Linked DNA regions of Styela clava. Each later gene encodes a partner of the first gene's protein in a complex. Links are inferred from orthologs where the notes say so. Each region holds a gene or a part of one and is shown on either strand. Other genes may lie near its edges.

What was found. Proteins that work in one complex are often made in the same cells at the same time.
Region 2: integrin alpha-V-like (region 1) and beta-parvin-like share a complex: the UniProt entries of both Caenorhabditis elegans proteins name them as parts of the integrin containing attachment complex. The link is inferred for Styela clava from reciprocal best matches to the Caenorhabditis elegans genes pat-2 and pat-6.

What each region holds. Positions count from the first base shown.
Region 1 is NC_135263.1:3,186,110-3,194,531, reverse strand, and holds the start of integrin alpha-V-like, read right to left. Parts: upstream 3,961-8,422; 5' UTR 3,867-3,960; coding exon 3,550-3,866; intron 846-3,549; coding exon 742-845; intron 347-741; coding exon 273-346; intron 1-272. UniProt on the Caenorhabditis elegans protein: Required for muscle development probably through the regulation of the actin-myosin cytoskeleton. Component of an integrin containing attachment complex, which is required for muscle maintenance.
Region 2 is NC_135255.1:14,757,341-14,766,259, forward strand, and holds the start of beta-parvin-like, read right to left. Parts: upstream 3,775-8,919; 5' UTR 3,628-3,774; coding exon 3,531-3,627; intron 3,018-3,530; coding exon 2,863-3,017; intron 2,157-2,862; coding exon 2,028-2,156; intron 1,785-2,027; coding exon 1,667-1,784; intron 1,021-1,666; coding exon 920-1,020; intron 528-919; coding exon 454-527; intron 14-453; coding exon 1-13. UniProt on the Caenorhabditis elegans protein: Involved in the regulation of cell adhesion and cytoskeleton organization. Component of an integrin containing attachment complex, which is required for muscle development and maintenance.

The sequences.
Region 1 (8,422 bases):
CAGGGTGTATTAAAAATGTCTTGCTCCACTTATCCTGCACTTGTCCACACTTGTTCTCACACTTTTTTACACTATCACCTTCTATTTTACATGGGGAACAAAGGTAAAAAAAAAGTGTGGGAAAAGCAGGATAAGTTGCCACAAATGTGGCAAAGTGAGATAGATACGTGTGCTGCAAGAAAGGAACTGTAGGAGTATAGGACTTAACATTTTTAAAACACGTGTTAGGAATATGTAGATTACCAATTTTGTAATCAATATGATGAACTTACCATTAACTGTTTATCTTCTCCTGTCAACATTGTCATTCCAAACATATCTTTGATCTGTTGAGATGGGACATCATCTGTTACGAAAGAGTAAGAATGAAGCTGATATACTAAATTATATTTATATATGTTTTCTGTCTAACATTGCGAGCCCGTCTCACACTGTTATTTTCATGGTTACTAAAACTGTGGTGATTGGAGTCAACATTTTTTTGTTGAAACGGTGGTGTCGAAGTGCTGCCGCTCAATAACTAGAGTTGGTTTTCGGCACTCTGACATGCAATTTTGTTTTCAATTTCATTGAATTTGTGTGTGTATAGTTCTTATTATCAATAAGATGGAAAATTCTGGTGCAAAATATTAGCTTTTTACTTGGAAGTTCCCGCTTTTTAATGCATTTATCAAAGTAGGCAATTTGAGCTCGGAAACACTGCAATTTCTATTAGTTGACTTTGTATTTTATAAAATATACCTTTAGAAACTTTTATTCTTGTACAGTTGCTGTGCGTGTTAACTTCATATTTGCATTTGTATATTTCACCACGTTCTAAAGATTTTGGAGCTCCAACAATAAGCCTGAAAATAGAAAATTAATGCTTTTAATATTATAATATCTATATATATACTGAACAGAGGGAAAGACTTTGGTCCGAGATAAGATGAATGCACATGCAAAATCTGGATTAGAATCAATCTCGCTTTCGTAAGATATCGCGTGCATCTAACAGACATACAGGCAGACAAATACCTATCAACATACTTACCGATTAAAATCGATAAGTAATAATCCGAAAGGGGCGCGCAAGACTGCAAGGTTGACCGAGCCCTAAAGCAGATTCTTATCAGGACAAGGCACAGGCAAACATATTTACAATATTAAAACACTCCTTTTAAGTCAGGAGAAAAAAAATAATCATCATCGACTGCTTATAGATGGTTACCTAATTCATTACAACAATTATTCAAACATCGATATAAAACAGTGTGGAATTACGGTCCTGGTAAAAGAAAGTCAATATCTGGCGAAATTTATTTTATTTTAATGAATATTTGATAACCAATAATCGGTATGGTGAAGCAATCATGTGTGTGTGTATTTTGGCACAAAATGCAAACTAGGACTTTTTGACATTAAATAAACTTTTCATAATTTATCACAATTTTTTACATTATATTTTTTCAAGCTCAACTCATATGTAATCAGGTATAACGATATACATACCGGTATATAAAACGATTCTACAATGAGCAAAATGCAATTTTTGATTAAATGCGTTTAAAAAATTGTGGCTATACTTGCCATGATTTTGCAACCCAATGTTGGACATAGGTACAAAATCTAAGACAAGCTTGTTTTAACCCGCACAGTTTGCCATAGTTCTCTTTGTTTTGTGTTTTACTGGACAAGAAGTCGAGCTCATGGATTGTTCGATTCGCACTGTTTGCTGAAGTGTATTTTCATTTTTGTGCATTTAAGATTTATTGCCTGATTATATATCATGTATGTTCATTTTATTATGTTCTTCAACTGTTTTTGGTGGATGGGTCCAAACTTGTATGTTAAACTTTGCTTGCTATATTATGCCCGTCCTCCAGGTCTTCAGCATTTTGTTGGCCTACTTGTTTAGTTTTATGCCAGAGTGACCAAAATGAAATTAATTGATTGATCAAAGTTGGTGGTTCAGAATATTGAAAATTATGAAACAAAGTGTAGCATAATTATCTTTTCCATCATAGACATTCCTGTCAGTCTAGATGTCAGGCTATTACATCAACTTTCAACCCGAATAACCCACAAACTACATTGAATAAGTTGTGGTCTAGCCTTGCCAACTTGTATTAGGCAGAAACAAAGCTAATTAGTCTAATTAATTCCCGTGAGATGTGATCAGATGTTATCAATGTCTATGGGGAATAACTAATAGCATACTCATGTCTGTTGTATGTCCTGTATTGTCTGTGCCTTAACATGTTCCGAGATATTATTTTTAGAAGAGCACATAGTATGTGATGGGTAATGTTTAACAGCTATACATTAATCTATTCAAGCTTGGACAAAATATAAGTTTCTTCTTCAACTTTTCATTCTGAAAATTTAGAGACATATATCTCTACAAGCTTTCCAGAGACAATGTGATAATTTGGGAGAGAAGAAGAAAATTTGGATACATGTAACACTCACAAGCTTTCTAGATAATGAGACAACTTTTTTTATTATTCATATAAGTTTGATCAAAGTAATGTCAATAACTAATGGGTGGTTCACATAACTGCTGGTCGGTTGAGGCTTCCTCTACCATCAAATCCATGCATCTGAAAACAAATACCTGGCTAACTAATCCCATACCCGACATGGACTGGTAACCGGACGAGAGGCCGTGGTTCGCCAAATGATTGAGCCGGCATATCGGCTCTTCTTTCCCTTTGCAATTTTATAAAAAGTTGAGACACCCTATACTTCTTTGAACATTCCTAATTTCCTATTGGAATCACATGATTTCCAAACCACTAATATTTGCAATATGCAGTATTTACTATCTCTTGCTGTTTTCCTGATGGTATGGATGTTTCCCCGACCCTTGACCCCGAAATATTTTTTCCTATATAGTACTAAATAAAAAAAAAAATTAACCAGAGAAACATCCATTGAATTGAACTGCTTCAGGTTTCGTGTCAATCAGTATTTACTAGTCTGTAATGCAGGGGTGTGCAACCTTCAATACTGGAGGGCCACATACAAATAACTGGGCCACACCTTTATTTAACATAGGCTCTCTAGTAATTGCAGGCACAAAAAATATGTTGTTGATATTATGATATGTTGTTCGTTTCGCACAAGCTAGCTGTTAGGGCATTGTGACATCATAGGCATAGATAATAAATTTGGTTCCGATATAGGCTTTGCAACTTGGGAATTACTCGCACTCACCAGATTGAACTGAATTAAAAACTCGTTTCAAGGGCCGCACATCATTTAAAATTGGCACTTCTCCGCAGGCCGCACTATTTTTTCTTGTGGCCTGCAACCACAGTTTGCACACCCCTGGCATAATGTATTACTATTAATCTATATACTGTAGTTTCAATTTCTCTCGAAACTTTCTTGATCACCCGCGACTTTCCTCAGAAATGAGTCTTCATTACTTCTCTGAGTGTGTGCTTGTAGCTCTGGGCATTTCAGTAGTTGTCCATAACTTTGCTGAGAGATGAATCTTCCTCACTTCTGGGTGAGTGTTCGTGACCTTGCTCTGAGCAAAATATTATTAAAATATTCACTTACCAAGATTCGCCTTCACTTGAGTACATTCCTACTGTGTATCCAAAATATGATTTCTTTTCCGGTATCGTAACAAGAGTAGGAAATTTAACATCCAAATTAAATCCTTCCACATAATTGTGAGTCATAAATAAAAGGCAATGAAGCGTAAAAATAGTCAATAATATATTTGAAGTCCTTATTGAAAACCGTGGCATGGATTTTGAAACCATAATTTGTCTATTTTCAATTGATTCAGTAGAGGAATGCCCATGCCCTGGCATGTCTCTGTGTTGGCATTTTGTCATCTGCTTCTGGTCTTCTGTCATCAGAATATCCATTCCAATTGTGATTTCAGTATGATGTCACAATGCACCAAAGGAAGACAAAGGTTATTAACGGTCAGATAAAATTAAATTATGGATACAGTGTCTGCTAAATGTAGACAATAAACAGATAATAGAATGACATGAATTTCCTTTATAATATCTATTTATAAATGCAGAAACTCATTTAAATTCTAATCTCACAGAAACACAATTCCATGACCATAAAAGGAAAGTAAAAGAGGTGACATTACTTCCTTGAATAATGAATGGTTATGTATAGATTAAAAGAATTTCAAATAGGAACTTTAATAATATATTCTCCTCTGCTCATAAATACCTATACCACACAAGGTCGAGAGACTGCAATAGACTTGCCCACAGATGTATAATATTCTCATTTATTGAAAAACATGAGTAACACCTTCTGGGATAGAATGCTACATTGATCCATAATTTTATTTACTTATGCTTTGCAGTCATATGTGACTGGCAACTTAATATTGCTTATATATGGCACGGATATATTACTAACAAAACAGAATATATCCCAAGCATGGCAGTATATGACTAAAACCATCTGTAACAGATTAACTACACATAACGCTGCATAAATACATGGAAAACTACTAACTTGTGCAAACATCGTAACTGGTATTATCGTAACTGGTATTTTGTTTGGTGGTTCCTGACTTGAAAATTAAATAGCACCAAATGGAGGGTTCATGCACTACTGAAATGAACAACTATAACTTAAATGTCTTGCAACAATAACTGACCACATTTGCCAGTTAGATCAAAAGTCAACTGGTGTATATAAATGAGGAAATGCGCCTAGTTTTGTTTAATTCGTGCAAGATTGCTCCAACTTGTTCCTAACGAAAAATAGTATTGACTGAAGAGGTGCAGGAAACCACTGGTATGCTAGGAAATATAGATAGGTTAATTTTTCAATAAAGTTGTCAGTGGATAAAGGTTGTCACAATATTTCAAACTGATCAAGTTAACAATGTCTTGAGAACATCTACGAGGCAAAACATTGTAGAGGGAATTTTATAAAGTACATCTGTGTGGACGAAATAACTCATAGAATGAAAGTTTTGTTGGTAAAGATCTATTGCCTGTGTTTGTCTTGGGCCATATTTTTCAAATGACCTATGGTGACTCTAATTGTCTGTATTAAATGGACAGCTATAACTTAAATGTCTTGCAACTATAACTTAACTGAACACAATTTGCCGGCTAGATCAACAGTCAACTGATGTATATAAATGAGGAAATGCGCCTTGTTTTGATATAATGATTTCAATCATAAACTTGCTATTAAACACCACTTCCTGCCTCTGCCGTGCAGGTGGAGTTTGACTGAAACATTCTGACAATATATAGTAGACCAGCCATTCCTAACCCCCTTTGACACATTCCTCTCTTGGCCTTTTTAAGTTTCAAATTCCTCCCTTGGTTGTTTAATCTTTCAGGAACAATTGCTCGCGATATGTGCAACTTGACTTTTTAGTACATTTTGAATAGGCCATAATGTATGAATATAATATGCAATAAAGAATACCAAATAATTACGAAATATTAGCAAGACATGCAAATACAAAGAAAAACTATTCATATTACCCAAAAGCATTCTAATTCGGTCGGGAAACGTTGAATTAGACCAACTTTCGTTAAGACAAATGTAGTATTTTAGGCTGTTACAAACTCATTGAAATATAGCTGAAAACAGGACCAACAAAATGTAAAGATCTGTTTTAATTCAACAATATTGTAAACGTTGATAGTAGTAAAAATCTGCATCGCAATGTATTATCGCTTCAATTCGCAGAAATCTGAAATTACGTTCAGCAGTAAGAACTGCGTGGGCGGGCAAGCCAGGTCGAATGCCGCATCACAACGCGCAAAACTCGAGAAAAATGCCGCCATTATGCCTGTGCACACAACGTTCGCGGCGTTACTAGAACGCTTTACAAAGTGCATTGAGATTGAAATGAAGCGAAACTCTGACTCGACCACGGCACGAAATCTGGTCGATTTTATCTTATCTAGACATATTTAATTTGCGTTGAACATAATATGGTCTTAAATGTCATGTAAATAGTTTCCCCCAAGGACGCTTTTAAGCTCATTGTAGATGAGAGGTTGGAAATATAAAGTTGGAAATATGGTCCGAATCGCCGATCAATTGGTACTACCGAAATATGTGAACCAAGATGACGGACACCGAAACCTAGTAAGCGTACCAGGTTAGGGTTAGGCCATAATTTCTGGTACAAATACTACGGGAGTCATATTGCTAGTCCCCGAAGTCGTAAAAGAACTAAAATAATTACTACGTTCCGGTGTCCGCCACCAAATAATTGGCCTGCTCTCATATAGAAGTATATTTGAGTGCTATTTGGACACCAGATTTGATTTTAAGGAATTACAATCACATTTACGGGTATAGCTATTGTGAACCGCATGCTGTTTATCACGCCCTTATTAATCATGTCGTTTATCATCTGCTGAGCGCGTAGAAGTGTAAATAGCTAACTATGGCAATTTGGAATGTTGAATATTTACCCATCGACTGTTTACTTCCCGTCCTATGGGTAGACGAAACAGATAACCTTTCTTTGATAGCCAGTTAACATATTTTTGTGGTTGGAATATATTTTCTTACGATAACGCCCCAACGTGTAAAACACGATACTGACACCTGCGCGGCTAATGTGCTTTAGAAAATATTTGAATCTTTCCTGTACAATAGTCCAACTAATTAATGAATATATGTAATGTTTTGCAAACCACACGAAAAGCTGTCTTGTAGACATTGAGCCATTTTCAATTCAATTTGTAATGAATATGCCAGTGGTTCTCAAAACGGTGGGGCGTAGGCAATTTTTTGAGGGGCGTGAAGCTCATTAAAAATAAAAATATTTGTTAAATTTGATCTTGCTCGCCTTATTTTGGATATTTACATTTCTTTATTTTGGATATTAACGTTCGATCCACATCCACATTTTCAACGTGTTTTCCGAATAAAACAAACTTTCGCCTTACTATCTGTTAGTGTAGCTTATGTCAGCTACTTTTTGAGATGAGACGCGAAACTTGACGAATTCTGATAATGGGGCTCGGCTTAAAAAGTTCAAGAACCACTGAAATATGCGATTGTGCCTAACTCGAACCTTCCTTCATCCTAATTTGCTATTTTACCTGGTACGGGCTTCATGATACAATACGACTGACAACTTACCACAAATTAGTAGCGTCTAACAGTTTGGTATTCTACACTTTAATAAACATGCGGCGCTTTGTGCATTTGATTATTTTAATCTTCCCATTCCCGATATTGCCACAAAAGGGTTACCGTACATTTGAACCCACGTACATTTGAACCCATGTGTATATCCGCGGAAATCCCGAAATACGATTTGGATACAAAATATTTTGGAAATCCTGAAATACGAAAACCCTTTATATTACTCTTTCACATACTTTTTGCCACAACTTTTTTTTTTCGCCTTTACTACGACTAGTTGGCACAATAGCAGAATAATGAGAATATCATCTGTATTTTTTCTTAATATCACAATACCAAAACCCTTTACCAAACTCTCACATATACATTTTGCCGCCACATTACGCCTCGCGTTATTTTACTAACATTACCTACTGAGATAAAAACGAGAATATCGGTCGGAGACTTATCGAAAACTAATTAATAACTCGCTAATTATAAAAAAAATTATTAATCAATTAATAACTTAATAATTCTGGTCCGAGATTTGGTGAATGCACATGCAAAATTTGGAGCAGATTCAACCACGCCTTCGTGAGATATCGCGTGCATCTACCAGACAAACAGACAAATACCTATCAGCATACTTACCGATCTAAAGATCGATAAGTAATAACGACAATCAACATAACGAACGAAAACGATAGGTCCACTTCTTGTCCAATAAGAATAGTTTGGCAATAACCTAACGTAACTTATTCTATGAGTGCTGGGCGCAATAACACAACATATAAACACATCTGTATTTTTATCGCAATACGATAACCTTTTACTAAATTCTCGCAGATTGTAGCACCATTGTAGCATGAACACACGAGACATACGTACAATTAATTGCCTCAAGATTAAGAGAAAATGATAGCGCGATAAACTAGCCTAACTTAGTGGGGCACAATAACATAATAGAATTTGTATTTTTACGTAAATATTGCAATACGAAAACCCTTATCTGAACTCTCTTTGCTGTCATTGCAGCGCATATGTAAGGCATTTTCAAAACACATGAGACAAACGTTCAATTAATTGTCTTCTACTGAGATTTGAAAATGATAGCGCGATAACCTAACGAATGTGGCGGGTCAATACCAAAATAGCGCCTGTATTTTTACTTAAATATCGCCATACGGAAACCCTTTACTAAATTATTTCACAGATACTCCTTTCGCCGCCATTGTAGCGCGCATGTAGAATATTTTCAAAACACACAAGACTTACGTTCAATTCATTGCCTACTAAGATTAAGAGAGAAGGACAGCGCGATAACCTAGTCTAACTATAG
Region 2 (8,919 bases), on another chromosome or scaffold:
TCCTGTCATTTGGCTGTAAAACAATATGAACTAATTAGAAACAAATATTCAATTGTTAAAAAAATGTTTGCTTTGCTTGAATAAGCAATTTGAGCCTGGAACCTTTGACATTGTATGTTAATCAGGCCAAATTGTAGAGAATGAAAAAATCCAAATGATTGAATTTCAATAATTTTTCTAATGATTCATTCCACCCAGATCAATAGGGTGTTTGTAATATAAAGATCTAGTCCTGTCTTGCATGTGAGGAAAATAATTTTAACAACATATTAGTTTAGTACTGCAATAAAACAGAGGGCTATTTTGTCAATTAGGCAAACTTTTCTTTCACAGGACAAAAACATCACTCGATTATAACGAATGATACCTATATTTCAATTCATTATTTATAACATATCGTAATTTATTACAAAGCAATTGAAATAATTAGATACATTTTACAATTCAACTTACTCCATGGTAGAAGTGATTTGCTCCTCAACCATTCTGTGTTCTAACTTTCCACCAACTTTCTTGACAACAACAACCTAAAGAAAAGTGTTTCAATCGTTTAAGAATAATTGAAGACAGACAAAAAAGAAAGTTAATGAGTCCATAAATATCAAGTATTGACCTGATGATATACAAATACATCTACAACCTTATAACAGACGGACAAAAACAATTGACATTTAAATTGTTATATAAAAATGTCATGAATACTGAAGATTCCTTATTTCAAAAATGATTATGGGATAAAAATAAGATTTGATAAATGTAAGTAATGATCACATGAAAGGGTATTTATCTGCAGAAGTTGGAATTGCATAATTTACAATTAAGGACTTGATTTATCAAGCTAGAATTAAAATATATCACAGCCAAATACACAAATAATAATAGAATAATGATACATAAGCAGCATATAAAAACAACATACTTTAATATGAACATCTTCTGGCAATCGTATCGGTGCTTTATAATGGGCAGCAAGTGCTACTAGTAAATGAAGTATTGCAATAAGATTCTTTGAATGGATACCTGAAAAAGGTGAAAAGTCATAAACACAGCAGTAATGATTTCAGAAAAACACTGAATTAAAAAAATTGGCGCTCGAGAAGTATGTATGCCAATATGGAGGTCACCAATTTTGTTCGCCTATTTTACATCAAGTTATGTGAAGGGACTGAAACCTATGGGCAGGGGGATATTTACTCGGCTAACACAGACATTCCTCGAACTCGTAATAGCACTAAAATAAGGAAAATCGAAATAAAATTATGGCCCAACCTCAACCTGGCACACATACTTCGGGAGTACCAAAAAATTTTAGGTAAAATATGTCTCGAAAGAGCTTGTCTATAGTCATGGAAATGGCATGGTGTGGTTTTGAATCCTTACAAGATAATCAAGTGTGTAGTGGGCTAGTAACTGGATGAGATGTCATAATTAACAATATAATTAAGCTGTCTTATAGGCTTCACTCTTTCCCTTTAAAATATGAAAATCCTATCCTATTGAGATAAGTCAAAAAAAACTGATGACACAGAATGTTCCGATCATAATCATTTTCAGAAAGCAGTCTTGATAATTATAATTAACAAAAATGCGAGCTAAAATTTAAATTTTATTTTCTTGGATTATGCTTGTGTGTGTCCTAAAAAAAATTACATTGTAAAATACTTACTATCAACACTCCATTTAGTTTCATTCCAGCTTTGTATTTGTAGTTGTTGACTGACTTTATCTAGAACTGCCCTGAGTTTATCTTTTTGTCCTTGAGCTGTTTGCGTAACTTCCGGAACCTAAATGTTTCGTAGTACAATATCATATTTTTGTTGTATAGGTATACAGAAACAATGTCATGTCTAAATTTGAATTTATCTTGGAAAGGTATTAAAAATTATATTACAGAAAAACTCCCCGTTGTAATTGACTAGCTATCTCATTAAAACAGTGAGTAATTTTTACACTCAATATGAGCAAGATTGAGATAGGTTTGGCAGGAGTAAAGAAATAGAACGATAATAGAAAAAAGTCAAGCCAACCTGTAACTTGACATCACCAAGTTTTTCTAAAAGTTTCTGCAAAACTTGTCCATCAAACAAATCTTCTTGTATATTTTTAACAATAATTCTTTGTTCGACAAGAACATCATCAATCCATTCCATGAGAACCTAAAACAGAAGCAATCAGAGTAAGGCAGTGGTTTCCAACCTTTTATGGCTCATGGCTTTCCTGTTTATTAAATCAGTGATATTTATAGTGTTATCTTGATTGGTAGATTTCAAATCCCAATATGTTCAAACAATTTATACTCAGCAAAGTGAAAACACTCTGCGAAATAACCTTATCGAGCAATGAAACTAGGAAGAACGCGAGGTTTTCTTGTAAAGTGAAAAGTAAAATGAGTTTTGCGTCTAGCATTGTGGCCTTCTCTGACTGCGTTGTGGCCCCCTTGGAGGAGAACAGATGGAATAGGGTTTGTTCAAACAGATGAAACAGCCGGAAATACTACCAGACTAGACCTACTGAAATTTTTTTTATCTATATAATTTACCTATTAGCAAACATGAGCTGTCAAGATTAATAATTAGGTAATGTCCTTTGACAGGGTTTTCATCAACCATTATAATCAATATATTAACAGTAGTATATTAAACAAAAAATTAAATAAGAATAATGATATATTATGTAGTTTTTTTAATATTCACACATAAAGTGAGTGAGTAATGTAACGAATCCAGAGTTGTCAATCACACGCACATACTATTAGGACTAAATTAAACAAAATTAAATAATTTTTTTAAAGTATTTATTAAGAAATTTATGTGTTCTGTTTTTAGGTCACCCTGTACAACTCTAATGAAATTCAATTCACACCCGCTCAAGATCCACAACATCTTTAGCTTCTCTTGATTTTTGATCGATCATAGATCTCTCTTCTCCTTCTTCTAAATGGAAACTCGAAGGATCAATCTCTTGTGTGACTGTACCTCCATCAATTGCATCTCGAGCTTCTATGTCCAATGCATTTACTGCAAGAGAAAATCAAAAGTTAGAGTACACACTCACATTAAAATAGTTTCGAAAAAAGGAAGGAGTAAAAATTCTAACGATTTTAACAAAAGTAATTTAAGATACCACAATTATAACAATGTTTTTACTCGCCAAAGGCCAAGTTGACAAAGTTATGATTAAAAATATACTTTTGATGACAGTTGATAATAAGATTTGTATGATCAAAATATGGCCACATAAAAATTACAATTTGTGGCTTTATATTTGATTCAATATCAACTACAAATCAACCAATTACTTGGTGACACTATTCTGTAATTGGGTAATTTGTGGCATTAGTACATTGAAAATTTGAAATAGAAATAGCAACACAGGTCTTTATAATTTAACAAAAATTAATTTATATTTGATTCGATAACAAAGAACCTAGAAATCTACAATAGAAAAGGGGAGCGGCAACACCAATCTTTATATGATCTGACAAAGAATTGCCAATGTATGATAAAGTTCCATCCAATATCTGAATATACCAGAATCTCGTTGCTTTTTCTTGCGTCCAAGTGTTAATGAAAAAAATCCTTCAGATTTTTCCGGTTCCCTTCTTGCGGGAGATTTCTGGTATGACATTTTGTATATCCGTTGTTTAATTTCAAATTACAATGCTTCTAATTCAACTGAATTCATAAGTTTCAGAGTTTGGTGATGTGTTCATCAATTGTTATCAATTAATTCATTCAAATATTGAAATAATGAGGTACAATAATTTCACTATATCCAGATATATGTATACTGGTATATGCTGCTACCGCTGTTTCAGAATTAACAACATCTCCTTTCTGCCACATTCTGACATTGACAGAAACTGTTGAATGTTCGCGGATACCGTACGGTACCGGTACCGTACCTCAGCAGTTCAAACTGCGGAACTGTGTTCAGTTCAGTTACCGTATGCTACAACGGCACAATGGATTTTTGTGCGAATTCCATGTTAGATTATCATTTGAAAAACTGAACACTCTAGTCTATTTGTTATTAATATAATATAGTTCAACGTCCCGGTACCTCAAAAATCTAAATGATCTGTCGGGGAAGCCAAACGCACATATTATCCTGAAAACGCAATTACTGAATTAAGAATGAGCCGTATACGGCGGCAATACCTATGACGTCACTGGCACACCCACCGGTGCTGCCTCCCACCAAAACAAATTTGTATAAGTCTAATCACCGAAACCAAATATTCTTACAAATAAGTACCGGTACCGGTATCCAATCGGTTGTCTCATTCTACCGATGTCTGGCGTAGAGTTGGATTATCCGGATAGCGGTTATCCGGATAACCGATTAACCGAGAGGTATTTTACTATCTGATATCCGGATAATATTGTGACGGTTAACCGGATAATAGAGGAATATAAATAATGTATATGCGCATTAGTAATTTTTATATTTTTTGTTGAGTGGCGTCTTGACATCTCCCAGACTCCAGAGCATATAATAACACCTTCTATTCACACTACTCTGCCCATATTTAGCCACCAATTAGGTTGAAAAGCATTGAATGTGTGGGTGTGGGTTTGTGGCTTTTTGGTCAGGTGTGGCTTTTAGTTTATTGCGTGTATTGAAGGAACGCATTTCATGCTGGAACAAGCCATGACTTAATTCCCAATACTTCGTAATCTATGTGATCTGTGTAGCATTTCTAAATTTTTGGTTTACGAATGCATGTAATGTGCATGTTTTCAACTTCTTAAATTTTTCTATTGCGCAAAATAACCAATTTGTGGCTGATTCGAGCATTTTAAAATGTCTTTCCATAATAACTCTGTTCAACGTATCTCTCGATTGCGTCGACATACGTTGAAATTAAAGCACTTCTACTATAAAATGCCACCGCATTCTGCATATATGAAAATACGTAGTAAGCTGCACAAATAATATCAGTTTTTATTCGTATTTTTGCGATCTTGCAAATTTGAGCTATTAACAATAGAACTGTGTGGTGGTTTTTGATCAATTCGCCGTAAAAATCTTGCGAAATCGGATCTTTAAAATTAGCAGTAACTATCCGGTCAACCGGATAGTTAAAATATGGAATACCCGGATATATCCGTTATCCGGATAGTAAAAATTATAGGTATCCGAACTAACCCTAGTCTGGCGGATAGGGTAGTTTATCGCGCTATCCGCCAGAAATGTTCATGCATTGCAGCATTGGGGGCCCATTCAAATATGCGTAAGGATAACTCACACACAGACCGACCCTTCAGACGTCTTCAAAATGGAAAACCAATAGCGATGAACGTACGATCCGACCTTCGATTTGTAGAATCAACAGGCAGGATAAATATTCAATTCCGCCGAACTGATTGAGAGGACATCGACAGTTTGTCGTTTGAGGTTTGTTGGTTTAACTGGCATGAACAAACTACGGCCCGCGGGCCAAATCCGGCCAGTTGAGTAATTCAATCTGGACTGCCTAATGCTGCCATACCTAAACTAAAACCAAATTTTGATGTTTCAGCTAAAAATAACTAGGAATTTGGTAAATTTGCGATTCAATTTAGTTTCGGCACGAGGCCTATTGCTTTCCACGTCTGCTCTTGTAACACTGTGAATATTGTTCATATAATGTAACTTTTACGTCACACTTACATGGCCCGCCAATGTGGATGGGCAAATTTTATGGCCCTGGGTTCAAAAACCTTGCCCACCCGTAAACAGTGAGCTTGCTTTTGATTGCCAAAATTCATTAGATCTTGACTGATAACTCGACGCGAGGCAGAGGAGCACCATAGCCTATATGATTTGCAGTGTTTTCTCTTTTTCTCATCCTCCAGCTATTTTGAAGCCGGTACAATCCGGTCCGTGTACAGGACTCTCATATCGCCATGGATAACTTTTATTTCATTTTTTATTTTAACCTGATTTTTGTCATCTTGTATTTTATAACAGTGCACATCGTCCAGCAATTCATCATTGTGGATGGCTAAAATCTCCCAAATCATTCCACGGCACTTTTGCTTTAGTTGAAGTGGCGAATCTTGTGGTCTGATGGGTCTTTGACATGATCTCTAGAGGCCGGTTATTTGTCAAAACCATTCATGTTCAAGAAAACTAGAAAACCATTGGTTCAGTAGTTTTCTCGAACATGAGCACGAACAACTACAGGTTAGCAAAGCATTTCAATGGTCCACTTCAAACTCACTTAAGTCTGCTGTACCATGTCACAAATATTTGTGGTAATGCCATAACCATTGAAAGTAAAAGAAATGAGTGTGTTGAATTGATAGGCCTAGGAATAAACATGACAAATAATCGATAAAAATACTTACATTCATCTTTATTTTCCCAATTCGACCAAGCCATGTGCGCCATTGTGAATATCTTTTCTTTAGCTTTCTTCAATACGGTATCACAAAAAACACGTCTAGAAGTTGTATTGAACAAAACTAGCTAATTGACACAAAATTTGATATAAATAAGCTACTAAAAATTAATTATCAACGGATTTAATCTGCAATGAATAATTCAAAGAACATTCATTTCAATAAGTAATGCTTGTTTACTAGTCAAGTTCCAATGGAACGATTGTCACAAAATATAAATTAGGTTCGGAATATATTCTTATTCATTTACAAAAATTCCTCTTTCACTTCATAAACTCAACCAAACCAATCCTGACGTTTAAAAGAAATTCATTTGTTTGAAAAAGCACCGAAATCAATGAAAAATCACTGAAGAGTTTCAATAAAAAAAATCGTGGAATCATTGACAAATCCCTTTCTACAAAGGCTTTCGCCGTACATGTGGAATAGAATGCTCGCTTGACTTTTTAGTTTAAATCTAATACAAACAATATTCTAAGTACTCGCTTTCTTAGCCATAAAACTATTTTTCTCCCTATGTTTGTTAGTTTTACATATCCTGTGTATTTCTCGTTCATACTCTGACAATGTGGTGATAGCTATTGATCCTGCCTAATCTAAAAAGTATTCGCAATTCGAAAATACCTATACACACCATTGGGCTAAATATATTATAAGAATGCTATGATGTAAGTTTATGTGTCGACAACATCCATACTTAAACAGATCTTCGTGTGAATATTGTTATATGTATTGTGTTCTCATACGCCGACGTCTGTGCAATCAACGTCACAAAACTACAATATATTCCCAAAACGTGCATTTTATGCACTTAAAATACGTGATCAATATTTTATTCTGGGATAGAGTTTTATCAGTCTTTGTGAATTTATGTGAAGTCTGAAAGTCGATAAATTTAGCAAAATCGATTAACAAATAATTGATCAAAAAACTTCAACGTGCTTGAGAAAATTCACATTTGAAATTTTAATCTAACTAAAATATTGGGATGAAAATATGTTTGAAAATATCATAAAATAATAATCATCTTATATTGCTGTCGTTAGAGTACAATGTCGATAATGGTACACTAAAAAGAATGAACGACTTGTAGTAAGAACAAGGGCAATATCTATCCACGGTACTTTATATTTCCATCTTTCGTTATCACCTTCTAAGGCGCCATAGAAATAGAACGGGGAAATTATATATCCATTAAATTCGTCCCGTTTCGGATTTATTTTGATCACGAATTAAGACACATTACAACAATCCAAGTTTTCTCAGAAATGCGGATCAATTGCTTTGATTGTATGAGTTAATTTGTCTATATATAAAAAAAAGTCGATAGATAAATGAATGCCAATTTTATACAATAATTAACATAGTCCACTACATATTGCGATTTTTTAAAAATAACTAATATAAGATCCCGATTCATGAAAACTTTGCAACAACAAATCACAAAAAATGAAATTTTCTGTCATTTTAACCATAAGTGCCCCTTGTCTTACTCTCTCCATTCAAACTTCTCTCCATTCAAAAGCATAATTTACTTGTTCTATCACGTTTTAGGGAGTATAGAGTTCCAAATAAATACTCTGTCGAAAGAAAGCAGTTTAGGTACATTCGGTTCTTAAATACCATATTAGTTTTACATGGCAATATATTGCTGAAATCATTATCATTTGCCACCACTATAGTTCACTTTTTTACGGAACCTAAGAAAAGTATCGATTATATAGTTGTTTGCTACATTTGAACATTTCTCACCTGCCTGATCTTCCTTCATTATCTGAACACATTAAATTGACATTGAAACTCAAGCTTATTTCATGAAAGGCACAAAGTAATTACGTTTTTCGTTTTACATCAATATAATGAATAGAATTTTGTGAGTTTTATTCGTTTCAATATTTACATCGATCACTCTCTATATGTATTTTTCGCTTGAATGTGTAATGAGACAATTTGACACATTAAACTATAATATTAATTATGGTACTGCAGCAAAATTGATCAAGTTCAAAACTATATAATAGATCAATTTTGTCAATAACAGTTTACTTATAGATTACTGAATGACCTAATACGGGTTGCTATATAACGAAATAGCAAGCAAACTATTGCGCAATCACAAATCAACTACAAATTTACGGTAGTGGTATATGTATGTAAAAATAACAAACCAATGCTGTGCAAATATATACAATTCTGATTCCATTACAACATATATTTTCGTTTTTTAAAAATCATAAGTCATTTTCATATCAAACCTCAACTGTTGTAATGAAAATATAAAATCGAGATGAATCAAAATAACAAACAAACGAAAGTAATTGAAACTTTGCTGTCTGCCCACAGACCGTGCGCTAAAACTCAATGCGATTCCAATATCTTGTACTATTGCCAATTCAAAACCATTACTTGTTGCATTACTGCCATTTCCCTGTCATGAGATGACGTTTTTATGTGCAATGCCAAAGAAGAAATCTATATAGTCAGGCATTGTGATTTCGGACCAAACTTGGCCAAACGTAACCAATCAGAC